Linked DNA regions of Daphnia pulex. The protein of the gene in region 3 binds, or shares a complex with, the protein of the main gene of each other region. Links are inferred from orthologs where the notes say so. Each region holds a gene or a part of one and is shown on either strand. Other genes may lie near its edges. The genes, in order: cleavage and polyadenylation specificity factor subunit 4-like, cleavage and polyadenylation specificity factor 73-like and probable cleavage and polyadenylation specificity factor subunit 2.

Region 1 (5,243 bases), on a different chromosome or scaffold from region 3:
TTCCCAGCCAGGGGGCAGAGCGCCGGGCATGGGAAGATCGCGGAGGTCTCGTGGGATTCGCGGATCGTACCACGTACTGATGCCGGTCGTCACGTGATAAAAGTAAACCTGACCCTGGCCGGTTTTACGCATTTCGTAGCCATCCGGCAAATCGTTGGCCAAGGGCCGTCTCGACTGCTGTTGCTGTTGCTGCTGCTGGGTTGATGGCTGTTGTTGTTGTTGTTGCGGTTGCCGATGGCGGACAGATCGTCTTCTGAAAGACGATCCGGAAGAGTTGGACGACGACACCGCATCCAGACTGTGACTTTGTTGAACCGGAACCGCTGGATGTCGCTTATCACGTTCTCTGCTACTGTGACTGCGTCTGCTTTCTCGACCATTGCTGGCCGAAACTGAGCTGCCGCCGCTGCTGCTGGCCTGAGCCCCGCTGCTACTCTCCACGATGGGCCTGGTCCATTGACTACTTCTCGATTCCGGATTCACGTAATACCTACGGCCACTGGATGTCCTCCTTTCCTCCCAACCTGCCCATTATGAAGACATTTGTCAATAAAATTTTCAAAGTCATCAAGTTGTTGTTGTTTAATTTACCCTGCGGAAGGGGAGAGGTGACTGAAGCCGTGGCAGCTTCTTGAATGCCTGCAGGTGACGCAGGGCTGGCAACATTTCCCAGAGCGTCCACAACGGTTTGGACGACGGGAGTTGCACTGTTCTCGTGACAGCTTGACGAATTGTGCTGTTCTCTAGACAGCAAGGAAATAACTATTTGTCCCTTCACTTGATCGGTGTCGTTGGCGTTCGCGCGCGTCAAGTCAAGACGTTGATCTGAAAAACAAACAAACAAAGAGACGAAGAATTTAGAGGTGGACATTCACAAGACAGAATTATTTGGCATTACATCCTGTGTCTTTCAGGCGTTGAATGGCATTGGACATGATTCGAACACAACCAAGGAATCCGCCACCTTCCTTCTTGTGAATCTTCTTGTGGTTCCAAACACTGATGGTTATCGCATCTGACTTGCCAATGTACCTGTGGGAAAAGAGAGAAAAAACAGTCAGGCGTTGAAGAGTTGAATTGTCTGGTGGTGATGATGACTTACAGGTCAAAGTGCTGGTTCCACTTTGGGTCCAACGAAGACTTGCAGGTGTCTGTGCTGTGACATTGGCCCGATCCCTCAACACTGACTTTGGCAAATGGGTCAGGCAAACGGAACAGATCCTTCTTTGCGAGATTCTTGGCGCACAGTACTGGTGGTTTGAGAGAGACAGAAAGAGATAAACATCAATAAGACACGGTCATACCATCAAGACTTGTTATTTCATTACTAATCCTCTCCCCTCCATCTCAACCCACCCCTGGGGGCAAGAGGAAGTTTACCCTTTCTACAAAGACAGGAAACAGGGTATCAGATAAAATAAAGCCTGGAATGAGAGAAAACCAGCCCAGGAATGTTGCTTCACCGAGGAGGAATCAATGAAAATTCCGTTTGTGGCACACGATTGAAAAATTGGCCCAACATCAAAACAAAAGAGAAAATAAAAAACACTTACTTGTGAGTCGAATCTTAATGGCCCCATTTCTCCTATTGATCCCTGTGTGGGACATTGCTGGCGAACAGGCAAACTCTCCTCCCAATCGTAACACAGAACTGAGATTACACTTCAGACATCGAGAATAATAAAAAGTCACGTGCGGCTTAAACCATGCATTTAAGTAAGTCTAAATATATAACAAGAACAGAAATCCTTTGTCAAAATCAATTTGTTTTGCAGTCCAAAACGGGACTCGGTACACTTTTTAGGCAGCCATGTCAGCGAGCAATGGAAAACTGGCCCTCTAGCGGAACCACCAGGCAGCTACTGTAAATAATAAGCAGAGGCGAAACGCAATAAAATCAAAACAAGCAAACTTCTGTCTCGTGATTCTCGACCTTGTTTGTTTGTTTTGACCAAACAACGAAATTCCTTCCTCACCCTCGAATTCTCTGAAATAATTCCAAGTCTAGCGATTTACTTGAGAAATGAGAAGAATTACAGATAAGCTTATCTTTGCGGTTTTTTCGTCTAGTGAGCGGAGCTCGGCGTTCTTTCTGTAGCACTAGCAGTATTGTTCTATTAAGATAATTTTTGAAAAGACAATTGCTGATATTTCAATTCATTTGAATAGTAAACCTTTACACAAAGACACGAGTCCGAATAAGTGCAATCTGTGCAATGATGTGTAGGCCTAGATGACCGCACACAAAATCAATTGCCATCCTCATTTCTTTGCGGTACTGTTTACTAAACTTTAAAAGCTAAAAATTCCCATTACATAAAAAGCTGAATTCCGATCTACAAAATTTCTAAATTTAGTTTTGTTATGAAACGTTCTAAAAGCGTAAAAGAATATAACTAAAGATGCCGTTTAGTCTCACCTGCGGTAGCCCGGCTACCCTTCCTCTAAATTTGTGTCAAAAGCAAAATAAGCAAAAGTTGGTGTACATGTTGCTTGGTGCATGGGTAAATTAAATCGTTTTCAGCAGGAATTTTACTATAACTATTAAAATTAAAAATGGGCACCATGGATACCGTAATGGCGCCTATTGCCAATATCAAATTTGATATTGAAGTTGCCTTGGGTAAGAGAGAATCAAGATCTGATATCATCACCATATTTCAATTTGAATGAAACTAATGAACCAATATTTGTATTTATAGAGCAACAGCTGGGAGCCCAAAATCTCCCATTTCCCGGAATGGACAGTAAGTGAATTAAATGCATGTGCACATGGTTTCGACTTCTAATAATGTTTGGGTCTTTTAATTCTTCAGAATCAACGGCAATGGTGTGCACTCTATTCACTAAAGGTCAATGCCAGAGAGCAAGTTTTTGCCCATACAGACACCTCAGAGCAGACCGGACAATTGTATGTAAACATTGGCTCAGAGGACTATGCAAGAAAGGAGATCAGTGTGAATTTCTCCATGAATTTGATATGGCTAAGATGCCAGAGTGTTATTTCTACGCCAGATTCAGTGAGTTCCATATCTAGAGTTGATTTGATAAAACAGTTTTAATGTTTTTTTCTTTCTCCCAGGTGCTTGTCACAACAAAGAATGCCCTTTCTTACACATTGACCCTGAAACAAAGATCAAAGATTGCCCTTGGTATGATCGTGGTTTCTGCCGTCACGGACCGACTTGCCGACACCGTCATGTTCGACGTAATAACATTTTTATCGTTTCGTGAAAGAATCATTTTAAATATTGCTTTAATGTTTCAGGTGTGCTCTGCATGAACTACACAGCAGGCTTCTGTCCCGACGGCCCCGAATGCAAATTCGTCCAGTAAGAACAAAATAACTCGTAATATTATTGTCAGTTGGTGAAAATAACTGTGAATTTCTTTCTTAGTCCGAGATTTGAATTACCTCCACTTCCAGATGATATCAAGGGTGACAAGAGAAAGATGCCTCTAGTCTGCCATTTCTGTGGAGAAGTGGGACATAAAGCTGGTAAGAATCCTAACCTTGAATTACATAATACAAGTTTTTCGTCCCAAATTGATTTCATTTTGTTTTTCGTAGCTCAATGTCCGAAAATTCCATCAGAATCTAAGGACATTTACCGCACGCCCGCCGATGCCTCTACTCATGCAAATAACGCTTCCCAAGCCCAGAGAGATCGAACGAATTTGAGACCTTTAGATGAAGTCACCTGTTATAGAGTAAAAGAATTTATTTGTTCACATTCGCGATTTTTGAAATTACCCTTATTCACTTATCTTTTTGTTGTTAATAGTGTGGACTGCGCGGCCACTATGCAAATCGGTAAGATGAATTTATATTAATGAATTAGTCGTTTTGGGGCATTTCAATGTAATATCACTCATGCTGTAATTTTTATTTCAAACAGGTGTAACAAAGGACATCTGGCTTTCTTGAGTAACCAGCCAACAGAAGAAAGAAGTTAACGAAAATTACATTCATTTCCAACACTGTCTCTGTCCATTCAATAAATACAATTTTGAAATCTCTCTAAAAAAAAAGGAGTCAGAACACTAGTATATAATTATTTTTAGTAGTAGAACGGTTTTTGTGTGAGGAATCTTTAGATGTAGGTAGGGGCATTTGTGAGTGAGGTGGAGCAGGCAGCACATTTCTCTGCTTCTGGTGCGTTCACCAAAGTGCAATTGGAGCATTCACGTCCTCCGCGGAACAGAGGCTGGCTCTCAGGGCCCTTGTGTCTCGACTTGGAACACATGTCGCAAATTTCTCGATCGTCGGGATTCAGAAAAGTGCAAAACAGGCACTCCCATCCATTGAACTGAAAATTACCAAGGTTAAAAGGCTTTTACTCACACGCCACTAGATTTCCAAATTGTATAAATGCCATTGACTACCTTTGCAGAATTTAAATGTTGTCTAGCGGCTCTACCATTAACTTGGGCGGCTGCGGACTCTTTTGGCCTAGCTCCAACCGGTGATGATCCAGACGTGAAATATTGAGGATTGTTTGTTATTTTTGAAGGTGCAGTCTTTTCCGGCATTCGATCATAGTTTCCACCAAACATTTCTTTAACAGAAGTAGGAACGTTTCTCTCTTCTTTCAACTTGTTTACTCGATTGTCTTTCGATCTTTCGACAGTAGTGCTGCTACTCGGACAGTTATCTACGTCATCGTAGCAAAGCTGCTCCAAGCGATCAATATCCAATAGACTGTCAAACTTTGGTATGCTCTTCATCTCACGAACGAATGAGTTGTTCCAGACGTCGAAAGTTTCTGGGATGCCTTGTCCTTCAATAATCGACTTCGGTTCGAGGGATCTAGTTTGATAGTTAACAGGAATCGATGTCGGTTCTTCCACGGGAAGAGTCTTGGGCAGATAGATTTCTTTTTGTTCAGCAGAGAGAGAATAGTTGTAGGCCGGTTTCGCGTACTGCTGGTACATCATTTGAAAGGGGAAGGAACTTGGATACATTTCATGAGGTCCCAAATAAGAAGTGACAGGTGCTGGTGGATTGTAATTGTAGAGGTTTTCTTTTTGTGCGTGTTGGTACATCAAACCTCTTACGCAGTGATTAACTGATCCAACATAACTGTCGCGAAAATCAAATATGGATACCCATGAGCAGGGTCTTGGACTGACACTCAGTGCAGCATGGATCTCACAAAGAATCTGTTTTTAAAACTTGTATGTATTTAATGAAATAACAATTTTTAAATTACTCTAACTAACCTGAGATTCCACTTCTGCAA
Region 2 (5,209 bases), on a different chromosome or scaffold from region 3:
AATAAGCCGGATCAGCACATGAGCAAGTAAAACTACTACAACATGGTCCTGCTGGATATCGATAGATTTAGATTTGTGTTCGTGTCTGGCGCCAAGTGGACAAAACTGGGCAAATCCGCTTATATAAATATGGGGGGGGCTGGAAAATATTATCATCCGGAATCGGCTCTCTCCAACGTTTTGGAAATCTCTCTCTCTCCAAAAGGCAGCCAGAGAGATGACGTATGCGTGCTATACTGTATTATTCACTTTCAATGCTGTTGACAGTTTTGTTCACTTTTTCAAAGATTTGAAATTTCCTCGAAATTTCCAATCGATTTCGAACGTTCTTTTTGATAAAAACTTTTTTTTAACTTTTAATTTCCGGATGAGCGGATGATAGTGATCTCGTGTAGAAGGACAGGTGTGTTCACATCTATACGCCGCCATGACAACCGACTGACAGTCTTCTGGCACGAGGCATCTCCGGACGGACGGACGGCCGCGTTAAAGGCAGGTGAATTCGTAATAGTGGGAAACGGAACAGGTTCCTTCTTCTCCTTGTATATACGTCTATCCAATAGAGCAGCAAGTTTATTTATATACACGTTTATTCTGTCCGGAGGGATGTGCGCCAAGGTTCGATAAAGACGGCGATGACTCTCTCAAATCGGCCAGACAAATGTTATGCAATTAGAATCAGCCGAGAAATCCGCTCGCGGAGCCTGCGGTGCGATTGCTTGCTTGCACGCAACCGTGTGTCTGTGTGCAGGTGTGGGTGTGTGTGTGCGTTTGCACTAAGAAATTATGAAGACGCTTTGATATTTAATAGGAAAAAACTACCCACACTCGACACAGCTCCCACGTTCAATTGTTTTCCGTATCAGCGAATAATGTGCTGTCACGTAGGAAATGCGTTTCAATGTCTTGTTTTTTCGCTGGATATTTTTCGCCAAAATTTATTGTCAACTGCAGGGAGACAAACGTGAACTTTATAGCTTACACACACACATGTATATGTATACCTGGCCCACATATACCGTGCTCGATGCACTGGAGGTTCATAATCGTGATTCATGAAACAATCATGTTACATGCATCCTAGTAAAACTTCATGGAAACTCGGCCCAACCTATAGCTACACCGTGTGTGTGTACGAGCTTGACGAGTTACTGCAGAAAGACCAAATGGTGAAGTTGATATAATCAAAAGTTATAAAAGGAGAATCTTCTTGACATTTCACGAACGAACAGTTTGCCGGTCGCTTTTTGGGTCTACATTTTTACCTCATCTGGGATCGCTGCTTCTTTTAGACTCCGCCACTCTTGGCAGAGACTTGAAACCATCTCGTGTGTAGCTTTCGGTGCAGGTGCTTCATTCCCACGCATAATCATCGGTTATTTATGCCACCATTTCTCAAATCGAGTAGAGTTTCACGAATTTTAAAACCCGTGGACAAAAAAGTCGAGATTGAATAGTAAAAACGCCGTCAGTCCGTTAATATCTTAAATCATCGACCCCGAAAAAATATATCAAATTCTAAATGCCATAAAACTTCACGGCGTAGATTGCATAATTAATAAATGTATACTACGTAATATTTTTATGATTTTATCAAAGTAAAAAAGGCGAAAGCGGATGTGATGTGTCAACTCGCGGAGTGGACATAAAAGTTTACCTGGCAACAGCTTGTAGACCCAAGAAAAACAAAAGACAAAATGGCTAAACGTAAAAATGACGTACAGGTCCCGGCCGAAGAAAGTGATTTATTGGTTATTAGGCCATTGTAAATATAATGTCAATTGACTTTTAATTTGTATTTGGAAAATTCACGGGTGTTTTTTATTACATTACTTTTCAGGGGAGCCGGACAAGAAGTTGGTCGATCATGTATCATGCTCGAATTCAAGGGCAAGAAAATCATGGTAAACAAACGTGTTTTTGTTGTACAGAGTTGAATCGCCATTGAATGTGGGCATTTCATTGATTATGTTTTTCATTTTCTAGCTGGATTGTGGAATTCATCCAGGTTTATCGGGAATGGATGCACTGCCTTTCGTTGATTTGATTGAAGCAGATCAAATTGACTTGTTACTCATTTCACAGTGAGTTTTGGTTTTGTTTTCTTAAGTTTTATTGTCAATAGCTAATGTACAATTGTATTTTTCAATAGTTTCCATTTGGATCACTGTGGGGCACTTCCATGGTTTTTACAGAAAACAACATTCAAGGGACGGTGCTTCATGACACATGCCACAAAAGCAATTTACCGTTGGCTGCTCTCTGATTATATTAAAGTAAGAAAAAAAGGCATTTGAGTTTTAGTCGATGCAGTGCTCACAAGTAATATTTCCAACAGGTCAGCAACATTTCCACAGATCAAATGCTCTACACAGAGGCAGATCTGGAGGCATCCATGGAAAAGATTGAAGTTATCAACTTTCACGAAGAGAAGGATGTTGGTGGAGTTCGTTTCTGGGCTTACAACGCAGGCCATGTTCTGGGCGCCGCTATGTTCATGATTGAAATTGCCGGCGTGAAAGTGCTTTACACTGGGGACTTTTCCCGACAGGAAGACAGACATTTGATGGCCGCTGAGATTCCTACTGTTCGACCCGATATCCTAATCACCGTGAGTTAAGCTTGAAGTATTTCAAGGCGAAATATGTCCATGTGATAATCTGTTTTATTCTCGAAGGAATCCACTTACGGAACTCACATCCACGAGAAGCGCGAAGATCGAGAAAGCCGTTTCACAGGTCTGATCCACGAAATTGTCAATAGAGGTGGCAGATGTCTGATCCCGGTCTTTGCACTGGGTCGAGCACAAGAATTGCTTCTCATTCTAGGTATTAGGTATTAGAAGTAATTTTTTGCATAAGAAAACTTCCAATCAGTTTTAATTGGCTTTTAGATGAATATTGGAGCCTGCATCCCGAACTTCACGAGATTCCCATCTACTATGCCTCGTCGCTTGCACAAAAGTGTATGGCCGTGTACCAGGTACTAATCAAATTCAAAATCTCGCAGCGATCGCATCAAACTTTAATTGGTTCTCTATTCTTGCAGACTTATATCAATGCCATGAACGACAAAATTCGGCGGCAGATTGCCATCAATAATCCTTTCATCTTCAAGCACATCTCTAGTCTCAAGGTACAATAATATTTGAAATAACCTGTTATAAAATGGTCCTTTATTCAACGCAATGTATTGTCATTCCCCAGGGTATCGATCAGTTCGAAGACGTTGGCCCTTGTGTAATTATGGCCTCTCCCGGTATGATGCAGAGTGGTCTATCTCGCGAACTCTTCGAAGCTTGGTGCACAGATCCTAAAAACGGTTGCATCATCGCAGGTCAGTGGAAAGAAATGTTTTAATTTTTATATAATTAGTTGTTCACGTTTATTTTTGTTGTCGTAAAAGGGTACTGTGTTGAAGGAACATTGGCAAAACATGTTTTGTCAGAACCGGAAGATATTACCAGCATGGCTGGCCAGAAGCTACCAATGAAGCTTTCAGTTGACTACATTTCATTCTCCGCTCACACTGACTACCAACAGACCAGTGAATTTATTCGTTTGCTGAAGCCACCTCATGTCGTTTTGGTTCACGGCGAGGCCAACGAGATGAACCGACTCAAAGCGGCGCTCATCCGAGAGTATGAACATGATCCAGACACTCAAATCCGTATATACAATCCACGTAACACTGCGGCAGTAGAACTCCATTTCAAGGGCGAAAAAACGGCCAAAGTAATTTAAAAAATCGTAAAAGCGATTCACCCAATGAATTTTATTCTAACGCCTTGTTGTCTAGGTGATGGGATCTCTGGCGTTTGAAAAACCAGTCGAAGGCCAAATCATTTCTGGTGTCTTGGTCAAACGAAACTTCAAATACCAAATTGTGGCGCCGTCGGATATTTCGAGTACCAACAATTTTTATTCAAGTCTTAATTTCTATAACTTTAGTACCCAATTTTTTTGAATTGCAGAATACACAGACATGACTGTAAGCAGCGTAACTCAAAGGATGGGTATCCACTACAGCGGGAATCTGCAAACGTTACAAGCTGTCCTGTCTCACGTTTCGCCTGACGTCGAAGTTATCGAGAGCGACAAAGGACTAAAAACATTTCGCCTTTTCTCTGCCATTGATGTCATTGTTGATAAAACTCTGGTTACATTAGAAGTACGCATCTTAATGATTTGTGAAGACCACTTCTTTAATGTTTAATATTTGATTTGTTTAGTGGGCGGCTGATTCTGTGAACGACATGTTCGCTGACGCAGTGCTTTCAGCTATCTTAAAGTGCGAATCTCTTCAAGGTTCGAGGACGATTGTGCTACCCACGACTGTTGATCATGCCCGCTTCAAGGTACTAAATTTTATTTGTTTGAGAATAATATCGGTCTAAACGTGTGAATTTATATAGGAATGCTTGATAGAAATGCTTCAAGATATGTTTGGAGATGATGCGGTTCCAAAAATGTTCAAAGGAGATAAATTCATTGTTACCGTTGACGGAAAAAGAGCCAATATAGATCTCACAGCATTGGTAACGTCTAAAATTACCGTTTTCTTATAAAAATCTAAATTCTTTTTTATTAAAGGAGGTGGAATGTCCTGAAGATGTTGGATTTCAACAAGTGGTTCAAACGGCTGTACTTAAATTATATCAATCTTTGGCACCAAAAGCAGAAAAAGTAAAATAACTTGTATTGATATTTAATAATGGAAGAATAAACAACTGCTAAAGTATTTTTATAATCCATCCATATATTTTTTGCATTGTTACTGGATTGTGATTTCTTAAAAATCAAAGTCTTCGCACTAATATTGCCCCGCACGAAGTAACAACCGATTAATTCATGCCCTCAAGAAGAAGAGCTACTCCTTGACCACCACCAATACAAGCCGATCCGATAGCATATTTCAGTTTGCGACGTCTAATGATAAAAGTAAAATAATTAGCATATGGTTCAACGCATCAAAGAAAATTAATTACCCCAATTCGTGAACCAAATGCGCGGTAATGCGCGAGCCGGAAGCTCCAAGAGGATGACCAAGAGCGATGGCACCACCATTGACGTTAAGGACTTCAGGATCCAAATCAAGTTCACGTTGGCAAGCAATAGTCTGAGCCGCGAAGGCTTCGTTGATTTCAACTGCACCAATATCCTTCAGCTGCAAATTAGCTTTAGCCAATACTTTACGAATGGCAGGTGCT
Region 3 (5,326 bases):
AAGGAGTGCAGGTGTAATGATGGATGGAAGCTTTCATCAAGATGCGTATCAGTACTGATGTTATTTAAAAAAGACATAAGTAACCCTTATTACCCTATATAATAGCGTATTGTTCGTAAAGTAGTTCTCTGACGCGATAATAGTCGTCGGATATACAGCCTTCGAGAGTTACTCTACCCGATTCATTCTGTAGAAGCGATAAAATTTCGTTAAATGATTTGATCACAATTATTAATTATATTAGATCTTACCCTACGCAGTGCAACGTTACCGTTACAACACCAAAGAACACCACCGATAAACTCGGACGAGATACCATTACGCACAAGTACTTGTTTAAAGTCCGATAATTTTAGTTCGTTGATGTACGATGTTTCGTGGCCAGGAATCTAAAACAGATTAAATCATTCAAAATTATTTTCAATTGTTACGTTATTTAAGTATAAAGTATTATTTACATCTTTAGGTTCTAAAGGCTCTAACAGCGGAGCTTGTTCTTTACGGAGCGAATTATTTTCTTTATCGTCCAAGTCCCTCAAGTCCTCTGCCTGTTGAAAGAAAAACAATTACTCCTTATTTTTCCCCAGCAATTTTAAGATTAACTGTAAGATTTACTTGATAAGTTAGCCTTGCATCAATCCAAGCGACTTCAGCATCCTTGGCTTTACCGAATGAAAGTGAAGAAAGTAAAGAGTCTTTCAACCTCACTTGGTAGATGTGACTTTCAATAGTTGCATCTATTGTTTCCCCTTTTCGTGCTATAAATGCTTTATTATCAGATGATCCTTAATAAAAGAAATATCAACAAATTTAGGTTAGCATATTCATTTTCTGCCTTAAAATCAATTTTACCGGTTGAAAGACACAAATTTTGCAGTGCTTGACAGGATTCGGATGATCCCCTGACGACGATGGTTCGTTTCGGTTTCATCGATTCAATCAGTTTGATAATGGATTCACCATCAGATCGTCCTTCGAAATCAATATGCATGATGCTTGCATTGATTGCTAGGGTCGTTGTGGTAGAAATGCACTTGGTAGGGCACTCTGCTTCCGGCTAAACGAAAGAAATGATCATGAGACTCAAAGCGATGCATTGGAAGTTAAAAATGACAAAAAATCATACCTCTTCTTCCCATTTAGGCTTTTCAACCGAATAATCGGCCATTTCGTGATCTTCCGACTCGGCAATGACGTAGTCTTCCGGGCGGATAATTTCGCCATACTCGTCGAATTTGATTTTGTCTTCAAAATATGGGAACATGGTAGGATGTTTCTTGGAACTTTTAAAAAAGTGTTGCACTGCTCCTGTCGTTTTATCGTCGGACCGGACAACAATATCATGTCGGCCTTTCTTGACTTCGTCTTCAGATTCACTAGACTCCGCCGCTATCTGATCTTTTATTTTTATCCCAGATAAAATATTTTTTTCGCGTTCTTTTCTACGGAATTCTTCCAATTCCGCACCTTTAAAAAAAATTAATGGAGTTCTAGATTAGATTTGTTTGTTGCGTCCGCAAAAGCAAATTAGCTTACCCTCTAGTTTGACTCGTTGTTTAAGCTCGAGCGTGACAGATTTCAAGTTACGCTGATCATGTAGCCGCTGGCCCAGCGTTCCTTGTCCTGACCGGCTGGTTAGAATGATAGAGTTTCTTGCATCAGAACACCATAAGGCAAATAAATCCCTGGCGAATCCACACTCCAGATCTGGGCAGCTTGAGAGAACAACTTTTGAGCCAGCAATACGGAGGACTTCTGGCAATGTATGACACAGCTGCAAATATCTAAAGAACAATTTGCTTTAATATTACTTCTAAAACTTTATAAATGCTAGATTGAATACTTGAATCCAAAAGGATTATTCCTGGCCCCTTCAAAGGATTTCATTAATTTATCTGACATCCATTCGATCTGTGACTTGGCGAACTCGTTGACATTATAAGCCACATTGTTCAAAAGAGCCAAACTGTAGGCTCTCAAGCCAGATTCTTGATTTCTCCATAGTTGCTCCAACATATGAGCCAATTCGAGAACTCTTCCAGCCGTATCGACAGCAACAAGGACGTTTCCTCCTCCTCTAAGAGTCTGTAGAATGTTGGTCATGAGCTTTTCGTCACGACTTCGCCTTCTGGGTTGCGCGTAAAGGGTGTTATACGCATCGGTAATGAGAAGAGACGGTCGCTGAATTTTCTCCAACTCACAACCGTTTAAGTGGCGTTCTTTTTTATGATTGTAGTCAACAGCATAAATGATATCTTCTTCTCCATCTTTTACTATTTTCCACACAGTTCCTCCCAACATGTGCCCTGCTGGAAGGGGTGTGATGATCAATCCTTGTCCCTTTCCTGTAAACAAGTAGTAATTTCAGTATGAAAAACTTGAATGAAATATTAGGACTTGTTATACCTTTGAGAGGCACACTTTGGCTGTATTTCAACTGAACAACTTTGTCAAACGAATTGTCAACATCATCCAGAGTGAATAGATCGAAGTCTTCCCTGAATAGATACAAATGTCAGTCATCTTGAATTGAAATTTGAATTAATCAATGTACTTACATGTTGTCTTTGGATTGATACCAATCGTACATAAACATCTGACCCATTTTGTAAACAGGAACTGTTGCATACACTGGACATGTTAGTCCAAGTTTTCCAACTGCATATGGCAAAGCTCCCAAGTGCAGCTGATCAGGATAGGATAGAAGCACTGCATCAATTTTGTTGACATGCTTCTTTAGTTCATGTATAAATCCTTCTGAACACTTTTCATCCCATCCACAGTCCAGCAAGAAAGTGAAATCGTCAACTTTGAGAAGGTACGAATGTGGCGAATCGTCAAGCGCGCCCGAAAGCGCGCAAAACTTGATGATAGACGTCATATTTGTCTACTGCGGATTGTTTATCATGAGTAAATTAGTTGAATTGGATTGTTGTTGACGTGTTCCTCTATTAATCATGTAGGAACATATCGCATTCTCAATAACCGAAATTGGAATGTCTGCTTGGTTTCATCCTACGATGCCTGATATCTTTATTCAAAGAATAAATGGGATTGGCCAGATTAGTGTATCATGCAATGCTGCTCGTCTAGCAGACAATTTCTTTCACAAAATTCACAATAAAAACTCGTTAAAAAGTCCAGCTGTGTGTATAGTGAGTGTTATCGGTACAGTAACTAGAAAAAATAAATCCATGGCAATGTCTTATTCTCGTTTAACTCAACTGAGGCTATCGCTTAAACATTTCCGAAGATCATGTACCAGTACATCGAACACAAGACCGACGGCCGGTATATCTCAAATTGCCAAACTAGGTAATGACAAGGCAGAGGTGGAGAAAAAGAAGGAAGAAGAGGATCGCGTAACATATGAACTCCCCAAAGCAATGTATGCTGAAAACAAGAAAACCGTCTTTCAGTTATTCTCCAGTCAAAAGAACTATGCAATTGAAGTAATCAGTGTTCTTAACGCGATCGAATTCTCGCCGTATGGAGTTAAAAAAGCGTGGAGTGATTGGAAGGAAGATAAGCTCGTTAGATCACAGTTGTACGTCAAAGAAAGAGCAGAGTTTCTTGGCCCAGAAATAGCCACTGGTCATTTTATTTGTTTTCGAGGTGGCAAAGTTCGCTTTTATGGCCATAAAGACTGGATTGTCGAAGACCCTGATTCGGATATCATACCGAATTTACCCAGATTTTACTTGGAATCTTATAAAATGGAAGCTGTTGACTGTTCAAAAATGACTCTTGTCTATGAAGGATTGGAAAACATGAGTATATTAATATCCTGTTTCATGAAAAAATGTAAACCAACACATAACCTTGACATTTCTTTTAGAAAACATGGAGAAGCTCAAATGGTTGAGCCTGGAGTCGTGTCCCCGTATTGACGATTGGTGCCTGGACAGGATTTCCGGCGAATTTTGTGACACGTTGGAATATCTGGATATTCGAAACTGTCCACTGGTGACAGATAAAGGTATCGCTTCATTAAGTAAGATGAAGAAACTGAAAACTCTTCTGGTTGGCGGTCACCCGGAAGCTAAAAATCTTGAACTTGTATGCCTCATGCTTGAGGACGTTTTGCCTGAATTAACCATCCGAGGTATTCTTTATTGCGATGAGTCTTTATTGACAAATGACGAGGCCCACGAGTAAAATGTAAAGTTCTTTCAACAGTCATTTGCCGATTTTTGTTCTTGAGGAATTATTATGAATCAATACATAAATGTTAATGTTTATTCCATCTTTTAACTGGGAAAAAAAGACATGAAGGCTAATATGAACGGGTTGGGTGTTTTTTTTTTTCTCTCCAAATCGCAAAAGAATTGAATCAAGAAGAAAAATATTGAACGTAGTTACGAAAAGATGAAGAGGACCGAATTTACATGACACAATTTTAGCGGACTTGGCGAACTCTTAAACAATATTTGGATTAAGGACGGGGTCACACATAATTTGTTATTGATTATTTTTTTTTTTTCATTTATTCAATTCCCAAATAATAACCATTAATGTTGTTCAGGGTTTATTTATAACTACTTGGAAACATACAATTATGACCCCCTGAAACCCACGTTCTTAAAAAAATTAACCAGTATACTATAGATGGAGGGGTAAGAGGACTATCTAATTTTAACCCAGTTGTTGTAGCCACGGTTTCTCGCAGCTCTGCAAAGATGTTCATTCCTAGCAATCAATGAAATAATGGAAGTAAGAAAAAAGTGTCCATGCAATTACGATTAAATCGAATTAATAATACCTTATCCGACGACTCATTTTTACTCGCAATCACCGACTCGATGAAGGTCCGTCTGTGGATACACATAAATATGGATTACAACCTGAAAAACGTCGCGGGAGTGGCGCGTTAAAATTATTTTTGTAAGACTAATCTATGTTTACCAATTGACCTGATTGTAAAATAAACCCACGAATCATGCACAAACAAGATTTGTCTGGAATCGACAAGCCATCAACTTGACACACCCAATGACGACATCACAACACTTGAACAGTATTCCAATCACACAACTTACTTGGAGCCGAGTACGCTGAGTTGTGGTTGATCAGGGATATCTTCATCATTTAGAATTTGCAGAATACGACTGGCTTCAGCATGTGGATCATCATTCAAAATTTCTAAAGCAAAAAAACATTTTTAAAATATTTAACAAGTTCACAATTAATAAATAGCTATGACGTCTTACCAATCGTTCTTTTTTCAATGTGTTCTTCGAACTTTTTTTCGCGTTCCATATCTTCTGGGACAGGTTTAGGCGCTGCTGGAAAAGTAATCAATACTATGCTCATGTTATCTCGGCTT

The links.
Region 1: probable cleavage and polyadenylation specificity factor subunit 2 (region 3) and cleavage and polyadenylation specificity factor subunit 4-like share a complex: the UniProt entries of both Drosophila melanogaster proteins name them as parts of the cleavage and polyadenylation specificity factor (CPSF) complex. The link is inferred for Daphnia pulex from reciprocal best matches to the Drosophila melanogaster genes Cpsf100 and Clp.
Region 2: probable cleavage and polyadenylation specificity factor subunit 2 (region 3) and cleavage and polyadenylation specificity factor 73-like share a complex: the UniProt entries of both Drosophila melanogaster proteins name them as parts of the cleavage and polyadenylation specificity factor (CPSF) complex. The link is inferred for Daphnia pulex from reciprocal best matches to the Drosophila melanogaster genes Cpsf100 and Cpsf73.

Annotation. Positions count from the first base shown.
Region 1 is NC_060027.1:2,524,457-2,529,699, forward strand, and holds cleavage and polyadenylation specificity factor subunit 4-like, read left to right. Parts: upstream 1-1,905; 5' UTR 1,906-2,556; coding exon 2,557-2,623; intron 2,624-2,702; coding exon 2,703-2,747; intron 2,748-2,816; coding exon 2,817-3,020; intron 3,021-3,082; coding exon 3,083-3,208; intron 3,209-3,268; coding exon 3,269-3,332; intron 3,333-3,398; coding exon 3,399-3,499; intron 3,500-3,571; coding exon 3,572-3,711; intron 3,712-3,785; coding exon 3,786-3,814; intron 3,815-3,855; exon of another isoform or gene 3,856-3,899; coding exon 3,900-3,957; 3' UTR 3,958-4,032; downstream 4,033-5,243. Other genes in the region: E3 ubiquitin-protein ligase SMURF1-like, read right to left, coding at 1-524, 592-825, 899-1,032, 1,103-1,250, 1,554-1,608; uncharacterized protein LOC124207999, read right to left, coding at 4,095-4,310, 4,387-5,163, 5,224-5,243. UniProt on the Drosophila melanogaster protein: Component of the cleavage and polyadenylation specificity factor (CPSF) complex that plays a key role in pre-mRNA 3'-end formation, recognizing the AAUAAA signal sequence and interacting with poly(A) polymerase and other factors to bring about cleavage and poly(A) addition.
Region 2 is NC_060024.1:9,772,361-9,777,569, forward strand, and holds cleavage and polyadenylation specificity factor 73-like, read left to right. Parts: upstream 1-1,630; 5' UTR 1,631-1,697; coding exon 1,698-1,765; intron 1,766-1,840; coding exon 1,841-1,904; intron 1,905-1,986; coding exon 1,987-2,084; intron 2,085-2,152; coding exon 2,153-2,276; intron 2,277-2,338; coding exon 2,339-2,611; intron 2,612-2,677; coding exon 2,678-2,828; intron 2,829-2,893; coding exon 2,894-2,982; intron 2,983-3,048; coding exon 3,049-3,135; intron 3,136-3,206; coding exon 3,207-3,336; intron 3,337-3,405; coding exon 3,406-3,734; intron 3,735-3,798; coding exon 3,799-3,907; intron 3,908-3,973; coding exon 3,974-4,170; intron 4,171-4,231; coding exon 4,232-4,357; intron 4,358-4,414; coding exon 4,415-4,537; intron 4,538-4,592; coding exon 4,593-4,694; 3' UTR 4,695-4,740; downstream 4,741-5,209. Other genes in the region: 3-ketoacyl-CoA thiolase, mitochondrial-like, read right to left, coding at 4,844-4,928, 4,988-5,209. UniProt on the Drosophila melanogaster protein: Component of the cleavage and polyadenylation specificity factor (CPSF) complex that plays a key role in pre-mRNA 3'-end formation, recognizing the AAUAAA signal sequence and interacting with poly(A) polymerase and other factors to bring about cleavage and poly(A) addition.
Region 3 is NC_060028.1:937,283-942,608, forward strand, and holds the start of probable cleavage and polyadenylation specificity factor subunit 2, read right to left. Parts: upstream 3,018-5,326; 5' UTR 2,882-3,017; coding exon 2,559-2,881; intron 2,499-2,558; coding exon 2,407-2,498; intron 2,346-2,406; coding exon 1,844-2,345; intron 1,785-1,843; coding exon 1,537-1,784; intron 1,468-1,536; coding exon 1,127-1,467; intron 1,058-1,126; coding exon 853-1,057; intron 786-852; coding exon 616-785; intron 549-615; coding exon 459-548; intron 390-458; coding exon 252-389; intron 188-251; coding exon 95-187; 3' UTR 1-94. Other genes in the region: distal membrane-arm assembly complex protein 2-like, read left to right, coding at 3,195-3,774, 3,839-4,158; signal recognition particle 54 kDa protein-like, read right to left, coding at 4,684-4,689, 4,763-4,814, 5,040-5,142, 5,211-5,326. UniProt on the Drosophila melanogaster protein: Component of the cleavage and polyadenylation specificity factor (CPSF) complex that plays a key role in pre-mRNA 3'-end formation, recognizing the AAUAAA signal sequence and interacting with poly(A) polymerase and other factors to bring about cleavage and poly(A) addition.